7 linked regions of the Mus musculus genome follow. The protein of the gene in region 1 interacts with the protein of each later gene in a pairwise test. Links are inferred from orthologs where the notes say so. Each region holds a gene or a part of one and is shown in the gene's direction. Other genes may lie near its edges. The genes, in order: Trim63, Tcap, Tnni2, Usp13, Gmeb1, Pdhb and Pkm.

Region 1 (3,500 bases):
ATGGCCCATGTGTGGAGGTCAGGAAACAACTTTGTGGAATCAGCCCTCTCCTTCTGCCTTTGTGAGTCCCAGGGAAGGAACTCTGGTTGTTAGCCTTGTGCTGCAAGCACCCTCATCTCCTGCGCCATCTTCTCAGGCCTCAGATGCCTATTTTGGGTGGTGATGATGATGACAAAATTTATAGTATATTCATGTTAGCCTAATGCTAATGCCTTCCCTGGGCATCGCCAAGATGGTGTGGTGCCAGGGAAACCCCCATCATGATGGCCACAGTGTGGGGTTCCTGGGCTCAAAGATGAAAAAAACCAAAACCAAGTGTTTGGAAAGAGGCTCCTGAAGAGGGCAGAAAAGCCTGGCGTGACCAGCAGGGCTGTGGGAGGGGCCACACGGACCTGTGGGGGATGCTCACTGTTGGAAGTGAATTGCTGTAAGGGACTGGGGGGGCAGGGGGGAGTGAAGACACGGCAGCCTATCCTAAAGGAATGGAAGATCTAGTTAGCCTCAACTCTAAAACCCCCGTCTAGAATGGGAAACAACTGATGTTGGAAAGCGACATCCCAGGTACCCTAGTGGAGGAAGCCATAAAGGGAGAAGACAGAAAGAAGGAACTCTGGGGTCGGCTAGATGGCTCAGTGAGTAGAGGTGCTTGAGGCCAAGGCTGATAACCAGAGTTCTATCCCCTGAGCCCACATAGTGGAAGGAGAGAACCAACTCCTTCAAGCTGTTCTCCAACCTCCATGGATGCCGTGTGGCACACATACCCCACCCCCAGTACACATATACTAAATAAATGCAGTTTTTAAAATTATAGAAGAGACTCTGGGCCCTGGAGAGCCTTTGTGTAGCGCCCCCGACCACGTGATGCTTGTATGGCTTAGAGTGCACAGGCTGCCTCATTCTCTGAACTCCAGGATGCCCTCAGGGTGCGTTTACTGACGTACTCTTTCTACCTGCATTTTGCTTCCATGGTCTCCACACCAGGTACTGTATGTTATAGACTCAGGGAAGAAATACAGGCAGGCTTCCCTGCCCAGTTGGAGGATACAGTCTCATAGATTAAATATAGACGTGAAGGCTGCCATCAGAATAAACGGCCCAGGCCCCAGCAACCAAATCTACGGGGCTAAAATTAGAGCATAGGAGTTCTGGCCTCTCTGGCTGTGCTGCTGGGCCACCTTGGGCAAGTCCATTTATTTGCTGCAACTCCATTGCGTCTCCCACCCTGTGAGCATCTTCTGGTCTGACTGAAATTCTGGGGGTCGCCCCATGCCCTCTGTAACAACTCAGGTCAGGTCCAATGATGGAGCAGAGCCTGAGTTTAAAGGCTGGAAACAGATTTGCTTGCTAGCATTAGCTACCTTGACCTTGGGTTCCCAGAAGTTAAATAGGAGAATGTTTGGAGCAGCTTGACCCACTGGGAGCTGACGTACGGATGCGTGGCTTCCTGTGCTCGCAGCTAGGATGGGGCAGGCAGATGGGACAACCCTGACCTGTGACTCTCCTCCACCTCAGTCGGCCCCTGCAGAAAGGCAGCCACCCGATGTGCAAGGAACACGAAGACGAGAAAATCAACATCTACTGTCTCACGTGTGAGGTGCCTACTTGCTCCTTGTGCAAGGTGTTTGGGGCTCACCAGGCCTGTGAGGTTGCCCCTTTGCAAAGCATCTTCCAAGGACAGAAGGTACTGGCTACAGCTGCTGTGCCCTGATGATTCTGGGGGTGGACTTGACCCTTGTGGATGTGCTGAGCCGGCCTTTCAGGAATAGTCCCTCTGGAGGGACTTCCCAGGCCACAGGGACAACAGCCGTTGCCTCCCTGGGGGAGGTGGCTGAGCTCATAGGTTATACTTAGAGCCACTTGAGAGCACCTGGGTGTGACCAGAAGGAAGAGGCCATGGCTTCCCTGTCCTGTCTGCTAGTCTGTGGTCCCAGACCTCTCCACCAGAGCCTCTCTTGAAGTCTAAGGCAGCTTTGAGGCTCTTCCCTGGACCATGGCAACCCAGCATCCTGCCATGGAGTGAGCTGTAGCCCTACTTTCTGAGCAGTGTGTTTGTAACACTCCACTCGGCTCTCTCTGCTAGAACTTTCCAATTCTGTTCCTTCTCTCAGAAAGTAGCAGCTGGGGATGGTAGTGCAGGCCTTTAAGCCTAGCATTCAGGAGGCAGAGACTGGATCACTATGAATTTGAGGTCAACCTAGTCTATACTAGTCTATATATTGAGTTCTGGGCCAGCCAAGCAGCACAATAATACCCTGTCTTGAGAGGGGGGTGGGGAGGAAAAGGAAGGAAGGAAGGAAGGAAAGAAGGAAGGAAGGAAGGAAGGAAGGAAGGAAGGAAGGAAGGAAGGAAGGAAGGAAGGAAGGAAGGGGGGCTGGTGAGATGACTTAGTGGTTAAGAGCACTGACTGCTCTTCTGAAGGTTCTGAGTTCAAATCCCAGCAACCACATGGTGGCTCACAACCATCCATAATGAGATCTGATGCCCTCTTCTGGGGTGTCTGAAGACAGCTACAGTGTACTTACATATTAGGAAGGAAGGAAGGAAGGAAGGAAGGAAGGAAGGAAGGAAGGAAGGAAGGAAGGAAGGAAGGAAGGAAGGAAGGAAAAAGAAAAAGAAGGAAGAAAGAGAGAGTGAGGGAGAGAAAGAGAGAAAGAGGAAAAGGAAAAGAAAGAGAGGAAGGAAGGAAGGAAAGAAGGAAGGGAGGGAGGAAAAAGGAAAAGAAGGAAGAGAGAGAGAGCGAAGGAGAGAAAGAGAGAGAGAGGAAAAGGAAAAGAAAGAAAAGGAAGGAAGGAAAGAAGGAAGGAAGGAAGGAAGGAAGGAAGGAAGGAAGGAAGGGGTTTTCCTTTGTCCCTTTGTCAGTGCCTTGCTGTGTGTTTTGGGTTGCTTGGTTCCCCTCTCTGGGCCTCATCTATCCATAAAGGATACATCTGTGGTAGTCTCTGCTTTAGACCTGAGCTGCACCCCAGAAAGAGGGATAGCGACCCTGTTGGTGACTGCTATAACACTGGAGAAACAGCGGGCTCTGAGTCTATTTCTGTCTCTCCCCCCCCCCCTCCCATCCAGACTGAGCTGAGTAACTGCATCTCCATGCTGGTGGCGGGCAACGACCGAGTGCAGACGATCATCTCTCAGCTGGAGGACTCCTGCAGAGTGACCAAGGTGAGGGTGCAGAGCTGCCCTGCCCTGCCAGCGGTGAGGGGTTCAAGCCTCCAGCGCAGCTGCTCTCTGGGCAAGTTCTGAGCTATGAGTGCAATTTGGGTTTGGATCTTGGGTGCAAGATAGAGATGGCAGGAAAGGACACAGTCATTTCTTCATTCCCTCGGTGAACACAGCAGCTGTGTCTGACCCTGCTGAAGGACAAGACAGACCCCAGTTGGTCCCTGACTGCAGAGACCCAATTACTCCCTGAATGTTTCCAGCGTTTTGCTGTAGAGCAAGACTTTAAAAGCTCACACTTGACTCAGGACTATGGAAACTCAGGGGCTCTGGAATGATACAGA
Region 2 (2,882 bases), on another chromosome or scaffold:
TGGCTAGAAAAGTAGATAAGGGACTGGAGAGATGGCTCAGCAGTTAAGTGCACTGAGTTCAATTCCCAGCAACCACATGGTGGCTCACAACCACCTGTAATGGGATCTGATGCCCTCTTCTGGTGTGTCTGAGACATGACAGTGTACTCATATACTTTAATTAAATAAAATCTTTTTAAAAAGAAAGAAAAGAAAGGAAGGAAGGAAGGAAGGGAGGAAGGAAGGAAGGAAAGAAAGAGAGAGAGAGAGAAAAGGAAGGAAGGAAAAAAAGAAAGGAAGGAAGAAAGGAAGGAAGAAAAAGAAAAAAGGAAGGAAGGAAGGAAGAGAAAGGAAAGAAAGAAAGAAAGAAAGAAAGAAGGAAAAAAAGAAAGAAAGAAAGAAAGGAAGGAAGGAAGGAAGGAAGGAAGGAAGAAAGAGAAAGAAAAGCAGATAAAGGGAGACTTGGAAAGGGGTAGAGACTGCTCCATGATTATATAAAATAGAGCCAGCTTGAGGCTGGTCTGGATCTCCTAACCCTGTTCAATGGGCTTTCTCTGTTTCTGTCTCACAGTGTTTCTCTCCATGCAGGCAGAGGAGAAGGGGCCACCTCCCCCACTCTTACCTCCTTCACCCCGACTGGTGGGATTTAGGAGAACACTTCTCTAATGATTGGCCCTGAGGAATGAAAGCTCACAGACTCATACCCAGAGGTCGGGTGTGGCAGAAGTGTCCTCTCCCCTGCTGGTGTGTTGCTTTCTGTACAGGCAACCCGAAGACTCGGTTATGTGATCCTTCTGGTCAAGGGACCTCACTATGGTATGTGCCCTTGAGCTCAGGAAGGAGAGACGATCCGGGTAGCATGGGGCAGATCGAGGAGGGCATCAGTTCCTGCTTCTCCTGTTCTGTTTACAGACAAGCTGCTGTCCTCCCTGAGCAAGGGGGGAGCAGAGGAAGACAGTGCCAAGGTGGCACGAGGCTGCCCATGTGCCTGGTCCGAGGTGGTGTTTGCAGCATGCCAGACACCCAGAGGTGCTACTCTGAGAACCCAGGTCCCCAACAGAGCATCTTGCAGGCTTTGAAAGCTGACCTCTGACCTGGGAGCAACCAGAATCTGGGTACCCCAACCCCCGCCCCGGACTCAGAGCCCCATCACCACCAGTGAGTCTTGGCTCTGCTTATAGCATCTGACGCCAGAGGGGCTGAAAATAGCCCCTGGAGAAGGGGGAGAGGGGGAAGAAGGGGCTATTTAAAGGGCTCTGGAGGAGCAGGACATAGCAGAGGGAGCAATCAGAAATCATGGCCACTTCAGAGCTGAGCTGCCAAGTGTCTGAGGAGAACCAGGAACGCAGGGAAGCCTTCTGGGCTGAGTGGAAAGACCTGACTCTGTCTACCCGGCCGGAAGAGGGGTGAGTGTGAATCATTGGGAGGCTCTGCCTCTGCTCCCCCAAAGCACCTGCTACATATCAGAGTACAAGCCCCTGAAGTTTCTGGGGCCCCTCCCCTGCTCCAGGGAACTAGCTATGCCAGGGAGACCCCACTTAGCCCAAGACCAGAGAAGAGCTGCCCTCAGTTCACCACCTTTGTCTCCTTTCCACTTTCAGATGCTCCTTGCACGAGGAGGATACACAGAGGCATGAGACCTACCACCGGCAGGGACAGTGTCAGGCGGTGGTACAGCGCTCACCATGGCTGGTGATGCGCCTGGGTATCCTCGGCCGTGGGCTACAGGAATACCAGCTGCCGTACCAGCGGGTGCTGCCCCTACCCATCTTCACGCCCACCAAGGTGGGGGCCTCCAAGGAGGAGCGCGAGGAGACCCCCATCCAGCTTCGGGAGCTGCTGGCCCTGGAGACGGCCCTGGGCGGCCAGTGCGTGGAGCGCCAGGACGTGGCTGAGATCACAAAGCAGCTTCCCCCTGTGGTGCCAGTCAGCAAACCCGGGCCCCTGCGCCGTACCCTGTCTCGATCCATGTCTCAGGAAGCTCAGAGAGGCTGAGATGGACTGTGTGACTCAGACTCCACTGTGTCTGTCTCAGGCTAGGCACTTCCTGGCTAGGACAATGGAGGAGAGCTGCTGGCAGTGGCTGCTTTGTAGTTTGCCCAGAGGTGGGAGCTATGGGAGGAGGGAGCCCGAGGCCAGGATGCCTAGGTGTCCTGAGTCCCCACAGGGAAGGGAGCGAGGATGGCGGGCACTAGGAGTGGAGAGCTGAGCACCCTCAGCCCCAGAAGAAGAGACAAGAGATCCTGGTGAGAGGAGAGGCCCCTGGGAATGGCCTGCTCGGGAACAGATGGACTAGGAGAAGGATGTGCAACGCTCTGGAAAGGAGGGGGATGTGAAGAGGGTGGAAGTGGGCAGGCCCCCAGCACCCTCTGGTAGCACTGCAATAAATGCTCAGCCATGTTCCACGCTTCTCTCTTTCTTTGTGGTTGGGGTGGGCATGAATGTCCACCGTGCACTTCTGGGAACAGCCAAGCATTGGAGCTAAATCTGGCATAACCAGAGGGTACACTCCATGCTTAGGGGTGGGGTACAGGGGCAGAGCTGTAAACAGGGGGAATGTCTGGTCCCCCTTCCTGTGCCACTGCCCAGCCCTGGCTTCATGTCCAGTTCCTGGCACTGGAGCGTGTCTAGCAGGCCAGCTGGCTTCAAGGTTTGTTTAAATGATATCTGTGGAGGAGGTTATGGAAGGGGCTGGCACCAGGGCCGTCCTTGGCTGTGCCTTGGGGTGTGGATGGGGTCAGTGACCCTAAGGCCTGTCAGTTGTAGATCCAGACAGAATCAATCCTTGGCTGGCATCAGGTGTCCCACTGTCCCTGGCCTGGGTGGGAGGACAGGGTTTAAGTTCCTGTCTGTGACCTCTGCAGCTGTTGTGATGATCCCCATCCCAGCCTGGGTGTCTGGCC
Region 3 (3,984 bases), on another chromosome or scaffold:
AGAGGGCAATTGAGGGGGAGTTGTGGGTAGGTACAGCTTGTGGAAAAGACCTCAAGACCATGAGGGACTGTGATACAGTGTCTTATGCACTATCAGCAGGGGGCAGTAGATGTCTTTGGAAGCTGCTCTGGAGCCTTTGGGGGCTCACAGCCCTGGCTTGTGATATACCTCTTAATCCCAGCACATCTGGCGGGCTTTAGCAGCTCCAACCCTCCTCTGATCCCCAGGGGCCCCAGAGCAGCAGGGTTGGGGCCAAGCCATGATCTGGTGTCTCTGGGTGGGGTTCAGAAGCGGGAAAGGAGTAAGGGCCTGGCCCCAGTGAGCCGGGCAATGCAGGGCCTGCCTAGGCAACCAAGGGCCCTGAGCCCCCACAGGTCAGAGAAAGGTTCCTAGGGCGGTGGCACCACTCTCTGGGGTTGAAGGACATGTTTCAAGTTGCCTGTGCAGAGGCACCCATGGGCAGGGTGTGTGGCAGGCGGAGAGAGGCCCGGCTGCTGGTCCAGGGACCCTTTTGCTTCTCTCTTCCTGGGCAGAAAGGCAAGTTCACTATAAGAGGTGGGCACCACTCTCCTGAGCCCTGACTGCCTTCCACACAGGGCCTAAGAGAATGCTTTTGTTTTTGTTTGGTGTGTGTGTGTGTGTGTGTGTGTGTGTGTGTGTGTGTGTGTGCGCGCGCGCATGTGCGCTCAATTTTGCAGGAAGACTGGTGAGGTGAACAGTCAGCCCAGGGGTCCAAGCAGGGCATGAACACCCAGCAGGCAATGAGCGGCCAAGTGGGTGCAAAACTACAAGACCACACATACCATTTGACAATGACTCCAGTTCAGCCTACTTTTGGTGAAGTCCGGTTTCCTTTGGAGGAAGACTTCAGTGGATGTTTGAGCTGGGTACCTTGGAGACCCACATGGAAGGTTACCCTTGCTGTCCTGAGGGCTCTTGCAGGAACAAGGCTGGCATCTTGAACTCGTCATTGAGACATAAATAGAGCAAACCACCCCCAACTCCCCACCCCAAGACTTCTTGGACAGGCCAGCGCCTGGGCTGACCGGCCAGGCGGCTGGGCAGGTGGAGAGGCTCTCCTCCTCTCTGTGCCCCCATTGGTCTGAGGAGACTCCATGCCCTTTCTGAGCAGGGGCCCGGCCCAGGGAAAGCAATTTATACCCCTCCCCCTGGCCCACCAGCCCAACTCACTGCTGCCGGCCTGACCTCGCTCCCAGCACTGCTGCACAGCATCTAGGTGAGGCCCAGCCCATCTTCTTGAGGTGGGAGACTAGAGCACTACTCAGGCTGGCTCATAGGAGGACTTCCCCGGGCAGGGGCTTGGGGGTTTGGGGGTCTGCTGCCGACAGCTCTCTCTGAGGTCTCCCACAGATCTAGGGTTGAGAGCAACATGTGCTACTAGGATAGGACAGGGGTCTACAATGGGCCTCGGATAACAGGCCCTGTCTCTGGGGACACACAAGCAGGAAAATGTTCAGGTCAAGCAAGTAGGGACCTGAGCCCCCAGGCCACACAGAAGAACACTTTCTTCCGTGCATTCACTTCTCAAGCCAAAGGAGCAAGAGTTAAAAATAACAGGCTCACCCTGGCAGCCACCTGTGCTGGCCAGCCCCACCCCATCCCTCCCTCGGGGACAGCTGCAGCTCCTCAGGCCCCGCCCGGGACATTTTGGGAACACTTTCTCCTCTTACTTCTCATCTTCAGGGTGGGGGTGGGGGGTGATGTCCTCTGAGAAGGTCTGAGTTGCGGGTAGAGCAGAAGTAGCCTAGCAAGGCCAGGTCTCCATGCCTAGCCTCACGCAAGGCGGACACTGACACCATCACCTCTCTCCCCACAGGATCAGAGCTTGAGATCTCAGGATGGGAGAGTAAGTGATACCCAGGGTGACCCGTACTGCAGTCCCTCACCAGGGCTTGGGTCTCCTATCTCCCTGCCCTTTGTGGCTGCCGCCCAACCCTTCAACCCCATCAAACCCTAGGTTTCATGGCTACTCCTGTGAGCCACAGTCTAACTTCTCTTTTTTTCTCCCACTCCCACCTCCCTCTTCCTCCTGGGACAGTGAGGAGGTGAGTATCACTAGAGGCTATAATAGTCCCCTGAGGCTAGGACAGAAGACACCCCTGTCAAGGCCCCCAAGTGCCCCACCCCCTGAACTACCCCCAGAGAAAGAGAGGAAGTGCCTGCCTGGTGCTTTATGAGGCAAGGGAAGTAAGACTTGGGCCTAGTCACAAGGGAATCACTTCTCCTTTCTAATTTCTGTTCACCACTCACCTTCCGGGCCTCCCCTTGCCCACAGTCCCTGAGGCCTGGCTATATCCTGCCTCCTTATCCCCATTACCCCCTTCAGCCCTATGTACCACCTAAGCAAAGAGTCAGGACCACAGGCATGTGTCCCTGAAGCAGGCCCTGGACTAGGGAAAAACACCAGGGCCCTGGGCAGTGGCCTTGTTATCTCCTTGGGAACCCCAAGTCAGATGACTCTAAGCAGGTCAGAGCTCCAGCTAAGGCCTGACTCTGACCCCTCTGTCCTGTCCTGCAGAAGCGCAACAGGGCCATCACGGCCCGGAGACAGCACCTGAAGGTAAGGGTGGGCTGCTGCAGAGGCCTGTGGATATAGAGGTAGGGGTGGGAGTTCACTGCAGACCCTCACTCCCACCATTCTGTTTCTCAGAGTGTGATGCTCCAGATAGCGGCCACAGAGCTGGAGAAAGAGGAAAGCCGCCGAGAATCTGAGAAGGAGAACTACCTGTCAGAACACTGCCCGCCACTGCACATCCCAGGCTCCATGTCTGAAGTGCAGGTAGTTCCTTCCTGCCCCGTACCACCCAAGACCCTACTATCCCAACTCCTCAGCAGGTCAACCCTCCTGATCAGGACTGGGAGGGAACAATGATCCTCAGGTATCAGGGTGGCCACCCACCCACTGCTTGCCCACCCAGGAACTCTGCAAACAACTGCATGCGAAGATCGACGTGGCTGAAGAGGAGAAATATGACATGGAGGTGAAGGTGCAGAAGAGCAGCAAGGAGGTGAGAGGGAGGAGCCCGTGGTGAGGGGGTGGGGCATATGGCATGGGGAGGAGCCAATGGTGAGGGGGTGGGACATATTGCATGGGGTGGAGCCAGTGGCTTGCAGGGTAGCACAGGCGATATGAAGGTGGAACCAGCTGCTATGGGATGAAGCCAGGTGATGAGAAAGTAAGGCCAAAGATACAGGGCAAGATCAGGGACATGGAGGCTGTCAGGCTCCTAAACCTCCTGTTCCTTCCTCCCAGCTGGAAGACATGAACCAGAAGCTATTTGACCTGAGGGGCAAGTTCAAGAGGCCCCCACTTCGGAGGGTGCGTATGTCTGCCGACGCCATGCTGAAGGCGCTGCTGGGCTCTAAGCACAAGGTGTGCATGGACCTGAGGGCCAACCTGAAGCAGGTCAAGAAGGAAGACACTGAGAAGGTAGGTCAGGGCCCAGGGGAGAGCCAAGAGGGAGAGTCCACTTACAGTCCCTTTCATAGATAGTAAAGCAAGGCCAAGGGTAGTCTGGAGCAGACTGGAGTGGATCTGAGACCTCTCTGGTCCTACCCTCAGGAACGGGACCTGCGTGACGTGGGTGACTGGAGGAAGAATATTGAGGAGAAGTCTGGCATGGAGGGCCGGAAGAAAATGTTCGAGTCTGAGTCCTAACTGCCCACTTCCCCAGTACCACCCTAGCATTGGGGAAGCACCCAACATCCAGTCTGGGAGTACTTGGCCTCGCTCCAATAAAGGATTCACATCTCTTTCACAGTGTGGTCTAGTTCTGTCTCTGCCCACTCTGGAGTCCATCATCAGTGACCAGCAGTGTGGCAGGAGAGAGGCCATACTGCTTGGGTAGAATTCAAAGACCCTGGGCTGTATCCTGTAACTGGTGGGTGTGGTCAATGTCTGGACCTGTCTAACATGACAGAACGTGGAGAAAGATGACCATGGACTCCAACATATCTGAGTGG
Region 4 (3,500 bases), on another chromosome or scaffold:
TCACTTTTGGTCTTGACTGGGTTCCCAGAAAATTTGGTAGGTATCCTTTGCATGCTTTCGCTTAAACTATAGAGTGAGCCACCTAACCAGACATGGCATGTGAAAGAGGCTGTGGGAACGTCTGCCCCGTCCCTTCCACCCCATTGTTTCCTCTGTTACTCCCAGGTTTCTCTGGACCCAGAATCTAGGAGAAACACTACCATAAGAAACACCATATGCTAACCACACCCTCACCACTGAGCTCTGGGAGGATCAGGTTCTCAGAGGGGAAGTACACTCCTTGCGACAGCGCATCTCAGAAGTTACTGTGCACACAGGTCACCTGGGATCTTTGGAAAATGCAGATCCTGATTGGCAGGTGTAGGTGGGCTGAGCGACCATGTTTCTAACCTACCGCATGGTGTTGGCATTGACAGTCCAGACGCCACACTTGTAGTAGTAGGTAGCTGGAGGTATAACTTCCTCTTAGCACCCTTCCCTGCCTCTGAGATACAGCAGTACTATATGTATGTGATATTCATCTAAATCATACACATTTTCCTCCCAACCACTTGGAAACATTGGATTTGGACAGTTGATAGAAGGATGTGGTTTGGGCTTCACTGGCTGCCTTTTCATCAATACTCAAGGTCCTTGGTCAGTGTGGGAGGCCCATTTTCCAGATAAGGCATAAAGACCATTTCCTTAGCCACCAGGGTTGAATGTGAGCAGTCTTAAGTGACCTCCAGGCTTGTGCAAGGATTTGCATCTCACTCCGTGTAGCTTCTCTAGCAAGGACTTCAAACTGCCAGTCTCTTACAGACTTGTTTTTGGGCACTTACACAACAAAACGATGAAAGCCTTAAGAGTCATCCAAACACGGGTAGAAGGGGACCTGGAGACAGAAGGAAGAACAGCCAGCATGATTTCTGAGGAGGCCTGGTGCTGGTGGGCACAGAGTGCCAGTTTATCACCCTTTGTGCTGAGCTATTCCCAGTGCCCAGGAGACCCTTGATTTTCTTGCTGGGAGAGTTTAGGGAGCAGAGGGGGTCTGAGGGCAGGGTGCTGACCACTCTGTTCTCCACTGGCCTCTGAGAAGGTTGAGATACTTGAGAATTTTGACCCATTCAGGCTTTGGATTGCTGTGGACGGGGTTTTTGGTTTGTTTGTTTGCTTGCTTTTCCTTTTGAATTTTTGTGAAGGAACAAAAAGGAAGCCGGATTTTATTGACCAAGGTTTAAAGGAATCTCAAGGTAGGGCCTGGATTTTTCTCTTAAGGAACAGTTGTGTCCGTTTTGTGAATCTGACCTTGTGTTTAGTTTTACTGGTCCTTAAAATTTAACTCTTCTGTCTTAGCTTTTGTTCTTGGGTTATTGTTTCATTTATTTGTTTAGTTGTTTTTTTTTTTTTTTTTTTGAGACAGGATCTTATGTAGCCAAGGGTAGCCTTGAATTCACCTGTGCAGATGAGGGTAGCCTTGAACTTCTGATCTTCCTGCTTCCATTTCCCAAGTTCTATGTTTACAGGCATGTGCTACCATGCCCAACCTGCCTTGTTGTCTTAAATAGGATTTACATATTTGGCGTCATTTGGAGGCAGTTGGTCTCCAGGTCTGAAGGACAAAGCTAAGTTGTACTTAGACTCATTTCTATTCCTAGTTGCATAGGTTGCAGCACTGCCTTGCAGCAGCTGTTAGGCTTATAAATCTTGCATTTGAGCAAGTCGAATGTAGTGGCAACTGAGGCATGAGGGCTTTATTTTTCTCCCAGAGCAGCCACGGATGCTTAAGACACTTAAGGTTCAGCCAGGTTCTTTTGAGCTTTGTGATTTATAACTTAGCATCATCACAGTCACTGTCACCATTCGAGAAAAAGTATCAATTAGGATTTTCGAACTCAGATGTGCAAGGAAGGGGAAGCAGCACCCAGGAAAGGAGAGCTGCTGGGTAAAGGGTACACGAGCCACCCTCTCGGAGGGTTCCGCTGTGCCTTACGACATGGGTTAGGAAGATGTGCTTTTCCATAAGCATGCTGTTCATGTTTGGGGCAGTTCAGAGCAGTGGCATCAGTGTGAAATGGTCACAGCAGCCACCATTGTCCAGAACGGAAGCTGAGGGGAAGCTCAGACAGTTAACACAGGAGAATGTGCTATAGCTTTGTGGTATTTGAAATCCAGAAGTCTGCATTTTAACATTAAATCTGTCCATATCTCAAGAACACCAAATGGAATGAGTCTGGGCCACAGATAGCCTGGGCTGCCGGTCTGTGATCTCTGGCTCACCTGACCTGTTGCTGTCCAGTCTGGCACCTCTGTCCCACCACTCTCTGCCCTTCCCCTGAGCCCTCCAATAACCTCCCATGTGGCTTGACAAGTCTGCTGTGCTGAGTGTCCCGTAGGCTGGCTACATACATGCATGCAGTGAGCACAAGCAGATTTATAATGATCTGACCGAGGGCGCGGGAGAGTCCAGTGAATATGATCTTTTGTTTTGCAGATGTTTCTATTGATATGCCAGACCTACTAGATATCAGCCATCTCAGAGCCAGGGGCTTGCAGCCAGGGGAAGAGGAGCTTCCTGACATCAGCCCCCCCATAGTCATTCCTGATGACTCAAAAGGTACCATCGCCTACTGCAGTGGTTCTCAACCTGTGGGTCGCGACCCTTGGTGGTGGGGGCGTTGAATGACCCTTTCACAGGGATCACATGTCATATATCCTGCACATCAGATATTTACATTGCAATTCATGGCAGTAGCAAAATTGCAGTTGTGGAGTAGCAACGAGAATAGTTTTGTCGTTGGGGGGGTCACCACAAGAGGGTCATAGCATCAAGAAGGTTGAGAACCACTGCCCAGTTGGAAGGACACTCTCTCCTCCACCAGCCTGGAACAGTCACTGTGTTTTGCCACCAATCTGCTTCCCGTGAGGTCATCCTAGACACATAGGAATGAAACCTGGCTGCCACTGTGAACTTGAGACACGTACACTCTGTGACGACGTCACTGATTTGGAGTCCTGTCGGCAGGTGGTTCCAGAGGGGGCTTGCAGACAGGCGATACTGAGCGTGAGAGAAGGCCAAGGTGGTTTTCCACACTGCTCCTATCAATAAAGCTCAGGCAGAACCCTTGATTTGCAGTTAGACAGTGCTCTTACAAATACATGCAAGGATCGTAATTATTTAGCTCACCGAGCTGTCAGAACTTCCTGTTTTATTTGCATCTAAGTGCCCAAAGCCTGCTGTTTCCCCTCATTATTGTAATGAACTGTGTTTTGCAGGTGGTGTGTGTGGGGTAACCAGGAGTGAGAGGGTCTGGGAATCTCTTATCTAAAACTGTTGGCCATGGTTAGCTCGCTCTCACTTTTGACTGTCCCTTCATTTCCAGACCGCTTGATGAACCAGTTGATAGACCGTAGGTATCTTTTAAAATGCTTTTTGTGTCTTACATCTGTTGCCAGTGTGCCATGTTTTAAAAACTTACATATATATGAGTGGCTTGCTGCATGTCTGTGCACTAGGTGAA
Region 5 (3,972 bases), about 2.1 Mb from region 1:
TTTCTGAGTTCGAGACCAGCCTGGTCTACAAAGTGAATTCCAGGACAGCCAGGGCTACACAGAAAACCCTGTCTCAATTAAAAAAAAAAAAAAAAAAAAAATCACTATGTAGGTTCGAGTGGTGGAACTCAGGTGGTCAGGAGCCTGCACCCAACGTGCCATCTCTACACACACACACACACACAGCCCACAACCTGCCCTTTGGAAGCAAAGAAGACAGATACAACACAATGTCTATAGGAAGAAAGATGGGAAATAACCCTTGTGGGTCTTCTGCACGTGTTCTACCTACCGACCTACTTCCCTCCTCACACCCCTCATCTCTACGTTTGGCTTGCTTTTTTTTTTTGAGACAAGGTCTCATTATGTAGCCACAGCTGGCCTAGAACCCACTATGTAGACCAGGCTAGACAGGAATTGTGGAATTAAAAGCGTGTACCACCAGCACGTGCCGACGTTCCTGTTTAACTTTCAAAGATGAGAATGAAAGAGTAAGGTGGCTCTGAGGAATTTATAAACCAAAAGCATCTAACCCCAAGGCCTGACCACATTGCCTTAAAGCTTGTCAGTTACTATTCCCCGGCCTCAGAAACTTGCCCAAGTACTTTTCAAGTATCATTTCATTGTACATGAACGACATGTACCTTTCGGGAAATAGGTGGCTTAGAGTTGTCAAGTCACTGCACAGTTGTTGTACCGGTTCCAAGGAAGTTCAAATTTGAACTCCGAACCCGGACAAGCAGGAAAACCTGCGCAAAGAGCCATGGTTTGGACGCGGGAAGGGGTTACTATCTATGCTCAGCAGCATCTTTTCATTCCACATTGGTAACCTGAAATCCTGATAAATTGTAAGCGTCAATAAAGAGGATTTGGAGAAAGAAAAGCCCTAGTCCTCCACAAGAGTCAGGGCGAGATGACCTCTGCATCTAAACCTTATTCAGTCCCCTGGGGCCTCCCGCGACTTCTCCAACACTGCCTTTCTAGGACCGAAGGCCTAAGCTCTCAGGCTCCCCTAAATCGCTAGGCTGAGGGGGGAGGTGTATCCCCTGCGCGGCCCGCAATAAGGACGCGTCCCCTTTAAGGCGCCGGCTCGCCCGCCGCGGCGGCCGGAAGTGCTGGAGCCCGGCTTGGCGGCGGCGGTGGCGGCGGCCGCCGTGGCGGCTTTGTGCGCATGCTCCGTCGCCCGCCCGCCCTGGCCGCTCGCCGCCCGCCCGCCCGCCCGACGGAGACGGTGAGGAGGGGGAGGGGTGGGCGCGCGGCGCGGCGAGGGCTGGGGGCGGGGGGGGGCGGGCGCGGGGGCCGCGCGGCGGCCGGCGACGGCGACGGCGAGGGCGAGGGCGAGGGCGGGCGGGCGCGCAGGGGGCGGGGGGCTGCTGCCTCCGCGGGCGCCTCCCCACGCCCTGTGCGTGCCGCCGCCGCCGCCGGGGAGCGAGCGGACGTCGCGGCGCCGCGGGGGGGGTGGGGGGACGCTGCCGCTGGGTCCGCCCGAGCCGCCGGGCCGCCCCCAGCGTGGCCGGCCGGGCCTAGGCTCCGGGTCCTACGAACCCCGTACTGGGCGGGGGTTGGGGGGGTGGGGAAGGCTCGGCGCCCCCGGACCGAGGGGCCCGGAAGTCCTCGCGGAGGGGCCAGGGGAATCCCTCCCCACCCCAAAAATACGGGGTTTGGGAGCTTGGGCCTTGCGCGGAGGAGCTGGGTCAGGCCTGGGTCGGGCCGGGTCGGGGGAGAGGGCGGCGTGCTGGGGTGGGGGTGGGGTGCAGGGAATAGGGTCAAGCCTTCGCCCGAGGGGAGAGGCCTGGGCCACCAGACCTGGAGAGGAGGAGGAGGAGGAGGAGGAGGAGGAAGGTCCTTTGGAGGGCTTAGGAGAGGAGGCAGCGTCCTTCCCAAGATGAAGGGCAGTAAGAAGGAGAAGGGTCCCCGTGAGGGCTTCAGAGTGGAGGGCCTCCGGTGGCTAGGTGGAGAGTAGGGTGGTTTCCTGCGTCAGGAGACGAGGGAAGCCTAAGGTTATGGGGTTAGTGAGAAGGTACTTGCTGGGAAGAGGGTACCCCTTGCTTTCAGAAATGACAGGGAATTGGCCAGGTGTCCTCGGTTTGAGAGGCAAGAGAAATGTGGGCAGAATCTTACCCGAGGGTCTTGACCTGGCTGTCCAAGGAGCAAGGAAACCCTGAGCTCTCAAAATGCGACCTGTTACTGACTCTAGGAGAACCAGGAAGTAGGGGTTTTCTCCACATCTGTACACTCTTGCCATCTGCCCAGCCCCCTTTCCTTGGCTAGTATTATGGAACGTTTTCATAAGAGCTTGGGCCTAACGCTTCTAATTTTTCAACCATATAATAACTTGTTTTTCTTTTATACTTAAGTTCATTGAGTAGGTGTATTTGAGCTTTGTTGGGTTAGTTTGGGCCCTGTTTTGATTTCTTACACTCTTAGAGGGGTGACTTTTAAAAACGTATTCCTTGATTCCTTCAAACACCTATATAGGAGTCTCCATCCAATCTGTGATTTATATAGAACTTCACTTCCTCTGGATACTTCCTGCAGAGTGAAATGACCTTGGGTTCATTATATCTGAGTTCACTTTGGCTGAACAACCAAGTGCATACGGTGGACTTAGTGAGTTTTGTGCTTAAGTAATAAAGTTGCAAATTGGAGACTTGTTGTTGGTTTTGGCTATTTATTTGAGACTGGGTTTCTCTGTGTGGCTCTGGCTGTTTTGGAACTGGCCTCCAATTGTTTAGGTATTTGAGACAGGGTATCTCTGTAGTCCTTACTGGCCTTGCACTCAAGAGATTTACCTGCCTCTGCCTTACGAGCGCTGGGATTAAGGGCATATGCCATCATTGCCTGGCTTTTGTTTGTTTCTTTTTGAGATAAAGTCTCCTTTTAGTTTGGCTGGTGTCAAACTCAAAAGAGATTTCACCTGCCTCTGCCTCCAAAATATGCCAGGCTGCTCTGTATGTTAGTTATTTGACACCGGGGCTCACTATGTAGCCCTGGCTGGCTTTGAACTTATGGTAGTCTTGCCTCAGATGCCCAGGTTCGTGCTTGTAGATGGGAGATGATCATACCAAGCACGTGCTTGCTTTTCTTTTCTTTTCTTTCTTTTTATTTTCTTGGCATCTTTCTCTGTAGCTCTGGTTTGACTGGCACTTGCCGTGTAGACCAGACCGACTTTACACTTGCATATCTTTCTGCTTCTGCCTCTCCTGGGCTAAGATTTTAAATTTAGATTTATTACCTGGCACGGTGGCACACGCTGTTCTTCCTGTCCTCACTCACTTGTAAAGCAGCAGCAGGCAGATATCCTAGTCTGAGGCCAACTACATTGCATGTTCCAGCCTGTGTCTCAAAACAACAGCAAAAATGTATATGTTCCTGTCACTGTCTGTGTGTGTATATTGGTGTGTCTGCCTGCCTGCCTGCCTTGCTGGTATACTTGTGGAGGTCAGAGGACAACACAGGATTTGAGTCTCTCCTTCCACTGCCTGTGTCCTTCAGATCAAACTCAGGTTTTTATGCTCCATAACAATAGCCTGTCTTTACCTTCTGAGCCATCTTGCAGGCAGGCACCCATCTCCTTTTTTTGTTTTTGTTTTTATTTTAAACAAAGGTTTTGTATAGTCTCAGCCTTCTTATGTAACTGAAGATGACCTTGAATCCCTAACACTTCTGCTTCTACCCCCAGAGTGCTGCTATGCCTTGTTCCTGCTCACTTTAAATATTCTTAAGTTTATAATGCTATATGCATAATGTTGGGAGGGGTGCCTGTGCCATGGTGTGCAGGTGGGTAGAGGCTGGAGGATTTTATGGAGTTGGTTCTCTCCGTTTATCTTTACATGAGGTTTAGAGTTATAACTCAGGTAACCAGGCTTTTTTTTTTTCTTCCCTGAAAATAATTGCAGAGCAGCAGCCGGTTAGCACTTGTCTGTAATCCCAGCTCTCTGTAGACTGAGCCAGGAGGATTGAAAGTTCAAG
Region 6 (2,251 bases), on another chromosome or scaffold:
CAGAAGCTATGAATTGATGCCTGTAATCCCAAGACTCAGAAGATGAGAAGTAGAATCATGGTTTCCAGGCCACCTTGAGTTCTGTCATCAGTCTGTCTCTGCTTACAGCCAAAAGTGGCTGCTGTTCCGCACACAGACTCTGGGTCTCAAGTTAAGACCCAGTCTTGTTAGGCTGGGGAAGTGGCTTAGTGAAGTTGCTCTCAAGCATGGGGAGCCGAGTCCGGATCCCAGCACTCACATAAGAACAATGGCAGGGGTGGGTGGCAGCATGGGCTTGCTACCCAGCACTGCGGAGACCCTGCCAGGAGGATCCCTTGGGCTTGCTAGCTTGGCCAGCCAGTCTAGCCAGCCAGGTCCAGATTCAGTGAGACCATTTCTAAACAAACAAGGAAGAGAGCAATTGAGGAAGAAACTGGAGGTCACCTGTGTGTGTGTGTGTCCAGTCAGAAGATCCAGACTGGCAGCTGGACTTTACTATCCTGTGTATCAAGTAGTGCTTCTTGGGAAGTGTCGCTGTGCTTCGTCGGCTATAAAATGTGGATAATAGGACCTCTCAACCATAGGGGATCATGCTGTAGGCCCAGTGCATATTAAACTCTCAACTATATTTTTGATAAGAGGGATATTGAAACCAAGGAGGATAATGAATTCTATAGGTGAGCAAAGCTTCCTGTGATGGGGTGACAGGCTTTAATTGTAAATTCCCCCTTTACTTTTGTTTGAGATAAGATCTCACTGTGTTGCCAACACAGTGTCATCCTGCCTTAGCCTCCTAAGTGGTGAGCTTACAGGTGTGTGGCACTGTACTGCTTTTCCTTAGTCGATACAGTCGTGTACCTGTTTCTCCGATTCCACAAAGCCTGTTTCCTTGCCTTGTCTTCATTTAGGTAATAAATCTGCGCACCATCAGACCAATGGACATCGAAGCCATAGAAGCCAGTGTGATGAAGACAAATCATCTCGTGACTGTGGAAGGAGGCTGGCCACAATTTGGAGTAGGAGCTGAGATTTGTGCCAGAATTATGGAAGGTATTTCAAAGAACCTGGTTTTAGAACACAATCAAGCTGTACTTGAATGCCGACTTGTAAGAGATCAAAAGCTAGGGGTGACCAAGTGAATTTTCAACTTGTCAGTCTAGGGTTTTGTCTTTTGGGTAAATGTTTTTAAAAGTCAAGCCAAAAGTAGAGTCCTGTAACTACGATTCATTCTCTTCTTGAGTCCCGAGTCTGCCTCTCAGGTGAGCCATCTCTCTTCCTTAGGCCCTGCATTCAACTTCCTTGATGCCCCTGCCGTGCGTGTCACTGGTGCTGATGTCCCTATGCCTTACGCAAAGGTCCTAGAAGACAACTCCGTACCTCAGGTCAAAGACATCATATTTGCAGTAAAGAAGACTCTGAACATCTGATTCGGACTTTGAATGTAAAGTCATTGAAATCTATTTAAAATCCTTGTTGGGACTTCACCTGATGTGTACTGCGAGACTGCTAGTCATAAAGTTAATGCTGAAGTGACAGCAGGTGTCTGAACTGTAAGAAGTTTCAATGTGCTTATGAGTGGAATGTTGTCCACTCCCTACCCTAGATACTCTGCTTTGTCTGTTACTGTTTAAGTTAAATTTGCCCTCTTTCACTGGAAGGGGCAAGATAAGAATGCCCCCACAGAAGGTAACTTATATGTCTAAGAAGTATATTATCTACATTTGCTGTTTAATTGTTTTGATAAGGAATAAAGGGGATTCCCACCAATGAAGTCTTGGAGTACTATTAAGAAATTAGTGTCAAGCTGGGTGGTGGAGGCCCATGCCTTTAGTGCCAGCACTCTGGAGTGAGCCTCAGGAGGCAGAGGCAGGTAGATCTCTGAGTTCAAAGCCAGCATGGAGTACATTGTGAGTTCCAGGATAGCAAGGGCTACCCAGAGAAATCCTGCCTTGAAAAACTACATACATACGTATAGACGTATATTAGTGTCAAATAACTGATATGCTGTATATAAAAACTGTAGATTCTTAGAGTAGTTTTTTAGAGGATTTCAGTGTGTCTTTGGCTGGCCCAGAACTCAGGATCTCACAGATCTACCTGCCTCTGCCTCCAGAGAACTGGCATTAAAGGTGTGTGACACCACACCTGGCCCAAATTGAAGCTTTTTATTTCCAGAGCAATGCTCGTAATAGCCAAGCGCTCTACTACAGAACTCTATTGCTTTTATTCCTATGTCTGAAACTTTGCCCCAAACTGCAGAACTAAAACCAGA
Region 7 (3,500 bases), on another chromosome or scaffold:
AGGGCTATACAGAGAAACCCTGTCTCGAAAACCAAAAAAGAATGTACACCACCTCGTGTGGCTATTTATTTGTTTATTCATTAATTTGAGGCAAGGTTTCCCTTTGTAGCCCTGCCTGACTTGGAATTAACTGTGTGTGTAGACCAGGCTGGTCTTGAACTCAAAGGTCTGTTTGCATTTGCCTCTTGTGCTACCATACCTAAAACTCAAATTTTCTTAGCAGTTTGTAAGTAAGTATTTATAGGTGAGAAAACTGACTTGGCTTTCCTGAAGTGTTTTGTTTGGTTTGGTTTTTGTTTTGTGTGTGTTGGAGTCTTAATTATGGCTTTAGAGTCCTCCTCCCTCTGCTTCTTGTAAATTGAGGTGGTCTTCTGTGATCCCTTTCACACAGGCGCTGACTTCCTGGTGACGGAGGTGGAGAATGGTGGCTCCTTGGGCAGCAAGAAGGGCGTGAACCTGCCGGGCGCTGCTGTGGATCTCCCCGCTGTGTCGGAAAAGGACATCCAGGACCTGAAGTTTGGGGTGGAGCAGGATGTGGACATGGTGTTTGCATCTTTCATCCGCAAGGCAGCCGACGTGCATGAAGTCAGGAAGGTGCTGGGAGAGAAGGGCAAGAACATCAAGATCATCAGCAAAATCGAGAACCATGAAGGCGTCCGCAGGTGAGTCCTGAGACCCTTCCATTGCCCAGCCCTTGAGAGGGGTGTGGCCATGGTGTGTCCTGGATACCTGCTCAGCAAAATACAGCCTGCTGGGATTGGTCCAGGCGGACATCTGAATCAGCATTAGGGAGGCCAAGTATTTTTAGTCATCATTTTGGGACCCGGCTGGATACTCAAGGGCCTCAGATGTCCATGCTAAAGCTTGAAGCCTTAGAAATCTTCTGGTCTGATAATGGTGCTGATGAGGAGTGGCCCATTCAGCTTCCCATAGAGAAGCATGATGCCTACGTAAATGGAAATTAATTAAGGTGGCATTCATAAGGATGAGTGGTTTATTGACAAATGTTCATACTTGGCTTTCTCCCTACTGCTTCCCCTAGAACTGCTTCTGTGGGTTACAGTGGGCTTGGCTCTGTGTCCTTTGTACTGGGCAACTGGGAGTCTCTTTCTATCTTGATAAGCCATAGGTGCTGATGGCCTTGGTATTTGGGGCTGGGGAGTGGGTCAGCTCAAAGGGCAGCAGTCAGTGCCCTTAGCTAAATGATGATCCACTTTGTAGAAGATCCACTGGCCTCATTCTGTCTTTGAAGTGTCGATTAGGGAAGTACAAAACGGGGTGGGGGGTGAGATGCAGACCAAAACCTCCCTGAAATATTTATTATGGTGTTTAAGAAGTCCAGCCAGTAAAATTGTTGTGCTGTGAGTATTATCATACTGTGCTGTGGATGCCCCCTCGCCTGTGTGCCCCTGGGTGTGACCTTTGAAAGCATCTCTGTCGGGATCCCAGGTACTTTGGTTGTGCTTCCTGTCCTCTATTATCTTTCTCTTCTTTACCAGGTTTGATGAGATCTTGGAGGCCAGTGATGGGATCATGGTGGCTCGTGGTGACCTGGGCATTGAGATTCCTGCAGAGAAGGTCTTCCTGGCTCAGAAGATGATGATCGGGCGATGCAACCGAGCTGGGAAGCCTGTCATCTGTGCCACACAGGCATGTGCTATTTCATTCCTTCTGCATTCTCCACCTAGGAGACCTGGCCTTGTCCTGTCCTTTGGGCACACATAGCTGTGATCTGTGCACCTGCACAATCTTAAGGGAATTATCTTGGCAATTATCACTGAAGATGGCCTAGGATCTCATTTAGTGATGGTCTTTTACCGAGAGCCCTTGTCTGTCCCCTCCTAGATGCTGGAGAGCATGATCAAGAAGCCACGCCCCACCCGTGCTGAAGGCAGTGATGTGGCCAATGCAGTCCTGGATGGAGCAGACTGCATCATGCTGTCTGGAGAAACAGCCAAGGGGGACTACCCTCTGGAGGCTGTTCGCATGCAGCACCTGGTAAGTCCTCCAAGCCTACCACCAAGGCCTCTGCATCACCCAGTCTTTTACCTCCCTCCGACCACGGCCAGAAGAGTGAGGTGTGTGGAGCATGCTCTGCTTCTTGATTTTCACGTTGTGCTCTCGCTGCCTGCGCCCCACCACGTTGTCCTGCTCTGGCGATTACCTTTTCCATTACGTAGGCCACATCTGGCTAAAATATTAAAGTCCTAGGACTTAGTCAAGGGATACCTTCCTCCCTCCTGAACACCCAGACGGCGGGGCGGCCTCTATTCTAAAGGAGCCAAGAGTGTGTATTCTTGGCTGTTCGCCTGGTTTGGCTTCTAATTTGATCTCTTGATGGTCCCATGAGCAGATGCTTCTCTGCACTGCAGGCTGTAGCCATACTAAGCTGCTTTGAGCTGGCCTTGCATGGTGCCTGTCACATGGGACGTCTCTTGCTATGCCAAACCCAATGTAGGGCTAGAAATAGCTCTGGGCGTGGGGAATGGGTGCTGAATTTAGCAGGTTCTGGACTGGAGATTATAAAGACTTTCTCTGGGCAAATCTATGCTCTTTTTGACTAAGTCTTCTGGTTTCAGTAAGATAGGGTCTGGAGGTCCAGCATTCAGAGCCTGAGGCAGGAAGATAGCTTGAGGCTAGGCTGGGCTAGAATAAGGCATTATCTTACAGAAACAACAGACTTCCAGCTGACCTGACTCCTGCTGACTGTGATGGGTGAGGACCCAGAACTTCCTGAGCAGAGCAGTTAGCTAGGGCGCCAGTTAGGACCTTTCCTTGCCTCATGAAAGCATTGTTGGCTAACTTTCTTGGAGCTTTTCTATTCCCTTTTCGGCCAGCAAAGAACCACTGTTCTTTTTGTGTCTCCAGTTTCCAATAAGCCCCCAAACTGAAAGAAAAAAAAGCCCCCTTCAGGATTAGACATCTTACCTTGCTTCATTTGTGTACAGCTGTTAAGTAGATTCCATGATCTACCCATGGTTTATCTGAATTGTAGCTGTAGCCAGATGTGTGCCTATATTGAAACAGACCAGCCGTTTTGTAGAAGCTTGAACTCAGCTTGTCTCAGCTGGTCACCTCCTGATCTGATTGGTATTGGGAGCTGATCTTCACAGCTTCTCAGTAGCTAGCATGCAGACATTCCTTCTCCAGCAGTCTGTGTGCCTTCCTGATCTACACCAAACCCCCTTCTTTTCTAGTCACCTGCTTAGTTGTCTTATCACCTCAGAGTGGTCAGGAACAAGACCAGGTAGTCTAAACCATGCAGTCACATACATGGATTTATCTTTGTATAGCTCTGGGTGACTTATATGACCGCAAGACCTTGCCCAAGGTGGCATTTGATGAGATTAATTATAATTAATTAGTCATAACATTAAACAATTTACTGCCATAATGAAATGTTAGATAACCCTCTGGGCTCATTGATGTAATCTTTGCATTCTCATTTTCTTTTTAAAGGGAATCACATGTGATAGTGTGTTTGAGCACAGATTTGCTAT

Evidence for each region.
Region 2: the proteins of Trim63 (region 1) and Tcap interact in a two-hybrid assay, tested with the Homo sapiens proteins (3 studies listed by BioGRID and IntAct). The link is inferred for Mus musculus from reciprocal best matches to the Homo sapiens genes TRIM63 and TCAP.
Region 3: the proteins of Trim63 (region 1) and Tnni2 interact in a two-hybrid assay, tested with the Homo sapiens proteins (2 studies listed by BioGRID and IntAct). The link is inferred for Mus musculus from reciprocal best matches to the Homo sapiens genes TRIM63 and TNNI2.
Region 4: the proteins of Trim63 (region 1) and Usp13 interact in a two-hybrid assay, tested with the Homo sapiens proteins (2 studies listed by BioGRID and IntAct). The link is inferred for Mus musculus from reciprocal best matches to the Homo sapiens genes TRIM63 and USP13.
Region 5: the proteins of Trim63 (region 1) and Gmeb1 interact in a two-hybrid assay, tested with the Homo sapiens proteins (2 studies listed by BioGRID and IntAct). The link is inferred for Mus musculus from reciprocal best matches to the Homo sapiens genes TRIM63 and GMEB1.
Region 6: the proteins of Trim63 (region 1) and Pdhb interact in a two-hybrid assay, tested with the Homo sapiens proteins (2 studies listed by BioGRID). The link is inferred for Mus musculus from reciprocal best matches to the Homo sapiens genes TRIM63 and PDHB.
Region 7: the proteins of Trim63 (region 1) and Pkm interact in a two-hybrid assay, tested with the Homo sapiens proteins (3 studies listed by BioGRID and IntAct). The link is inferred for Mus musculus from reciprocal best matches to the Homo sapiens genes TRIM63 and PKM.

What each region holds. Positions count from the first base shown.
Region 1 is NC_000070.6:134,318,120-134,321,619, forward strand, and holds part of Trim63 (E3 ubiquitin-protein ligase TRIM63), read left to right. Parts: intron 1-1,512; coding exon 1,513-1,681; intron 1,682-3,063; coding exon 3,064-3,159; intron 3,160-3,500. UniProt on the Homo sapiens protein: E3 ubiquitin ligase. Mediates the ubiquitination and subsequent proteasomal degradation of CKM, GMEB1 and HIBADH.
Region 2 is NC_000077.6:98,382,572-98,385,453, forward strand, and holds Tcap (telethonin), read left to right. Parts: upstream 1-1,239; 5' UTR 1,240-1,275; coding exon 1,276-1,385; intron 1,386-1,580; coding exon 1,581-1,974; 3' UTR 1,975-2,382; downstream 2,383-2,882. UniProt on the Homo sapiens protein: Muscle assembly regulating factor. Mediates the antiparallel assembly of titin (TTN) molecules at the sarcomeric Z-disk.
Region 3 is NC_000073.6:142,440,632-142,444,615, forward strand, and holds Tnni2 (troponin I, fast skeletal muscle), read left to right. Parts: upstream 1-1,184; 5' UTR 1,185-1,237; intron 1,238-1,837; 5' UTR 1,838-1,859; coding exon 1,860-1,867; intron 1,868-2,059; coding exon 2,060-2,066; intron 2,067-2,539; coding exon 2,540-2,581; intron 2,582-2,671; coding exon 2,672-2,800; intron 2,801-2,939; coding exon 2,940-3,029; intron 3,030-3,274; coding exon 3,275-3,451; intron 3,452-3,583; coding exon 3,584-3,679; 3' UTR 3,680-3,779; downstream 3,780-3,984. UniProt on the Homo sapiens protein: Troponin I is the inhibitory subunit of troponin, the thin filament regulatory complex which confers calcium-sensitivity to striated muscle actomyosin ATPase activity.
Region 4 is NC_000069.6:32,911,626-32,915,125, forward strand, and holds part of Usp13 (ubiquitin carboxyl-terminal hydrolase 13), read left to right. Parts: coding exon 1-36; intron 37-2,473; coding exon 2,474-2,596; exon of another isoform or gene 2,597-2,846; intron 2,847-3,255; exon of another isoform or gene 3,256-3,362; coding exon 3,363-3,389; intron 3,390-3,500. UniProt on the Homo sapiens protein: Deubiquitinase that mediates deubiquitination of target proteins such as BECN1, MITF, SKP2 and USP10 and is involved in various processes such as autophagy, endoplasmic reticulum-associated degradation (ERAD), cell cycle progression or DNA damage response.
Region 5 is NC_000070.6:132,258,750-132,262,721, reverse strand, and holds the start of Gmeb1 (glucocorticoid modulatory element-binding protein 1), read left to right. Parts: upstream 1-1,172; 5' UTR 1,173-1,231; intron 1,232-2,121; exon of another isoform or gene 2,122-3,972. UniProt on the Homo sapiens protein: Trans-acting factor that binds to glucocorticoid modulatory elements (GME) present in the TAT (tyrosine aminotransferase) promoter and increases sensitivity to low concentrations of glucocorticoids. Also binds to the transferrin receptor promoter.
Region 6 is NC_000080.6:8,165,491-8,167,741, reverse strand, and holds the end of Pdhb (pyruvate dehydrogenase E1 component subunit beta, mitochondrial precursor), read left to right. Parts: intron 1-887; coding exon 888-1,029; intron 1,030-1,260; coding exon 1,261-1,406; 3' UTR 1,407-1,751; downstream 1,752-2,251. UniProt on the Homo sapiens protein: The pyruvate dehydrogenase complex catalyzes the overall conversion of pyruvate to acetyl-CoA and CO(2), and thereby links the glycolytic pathway to the tricarboxylic cycle.
Region 7 is NC_000075.6:59,670,076-59,673,575, forward strand, and holds part of Pkm (pyruvate kinase PKM), read left to right. Parts: intron 1-391; coding exon 392-662; intron 663-1,499; coding exon 1,500-1,650; intron 1,651-1,845; coding exon 1,846-1,998; intron 1,999-3,500. UniProt on the Homo sapiens protein: Catalyzes the final rate-limiting step of glycolysis by mediating the transfer of a phosphoryl group from phosphoenolpyruvate (PEP) to ADP, generating ATP.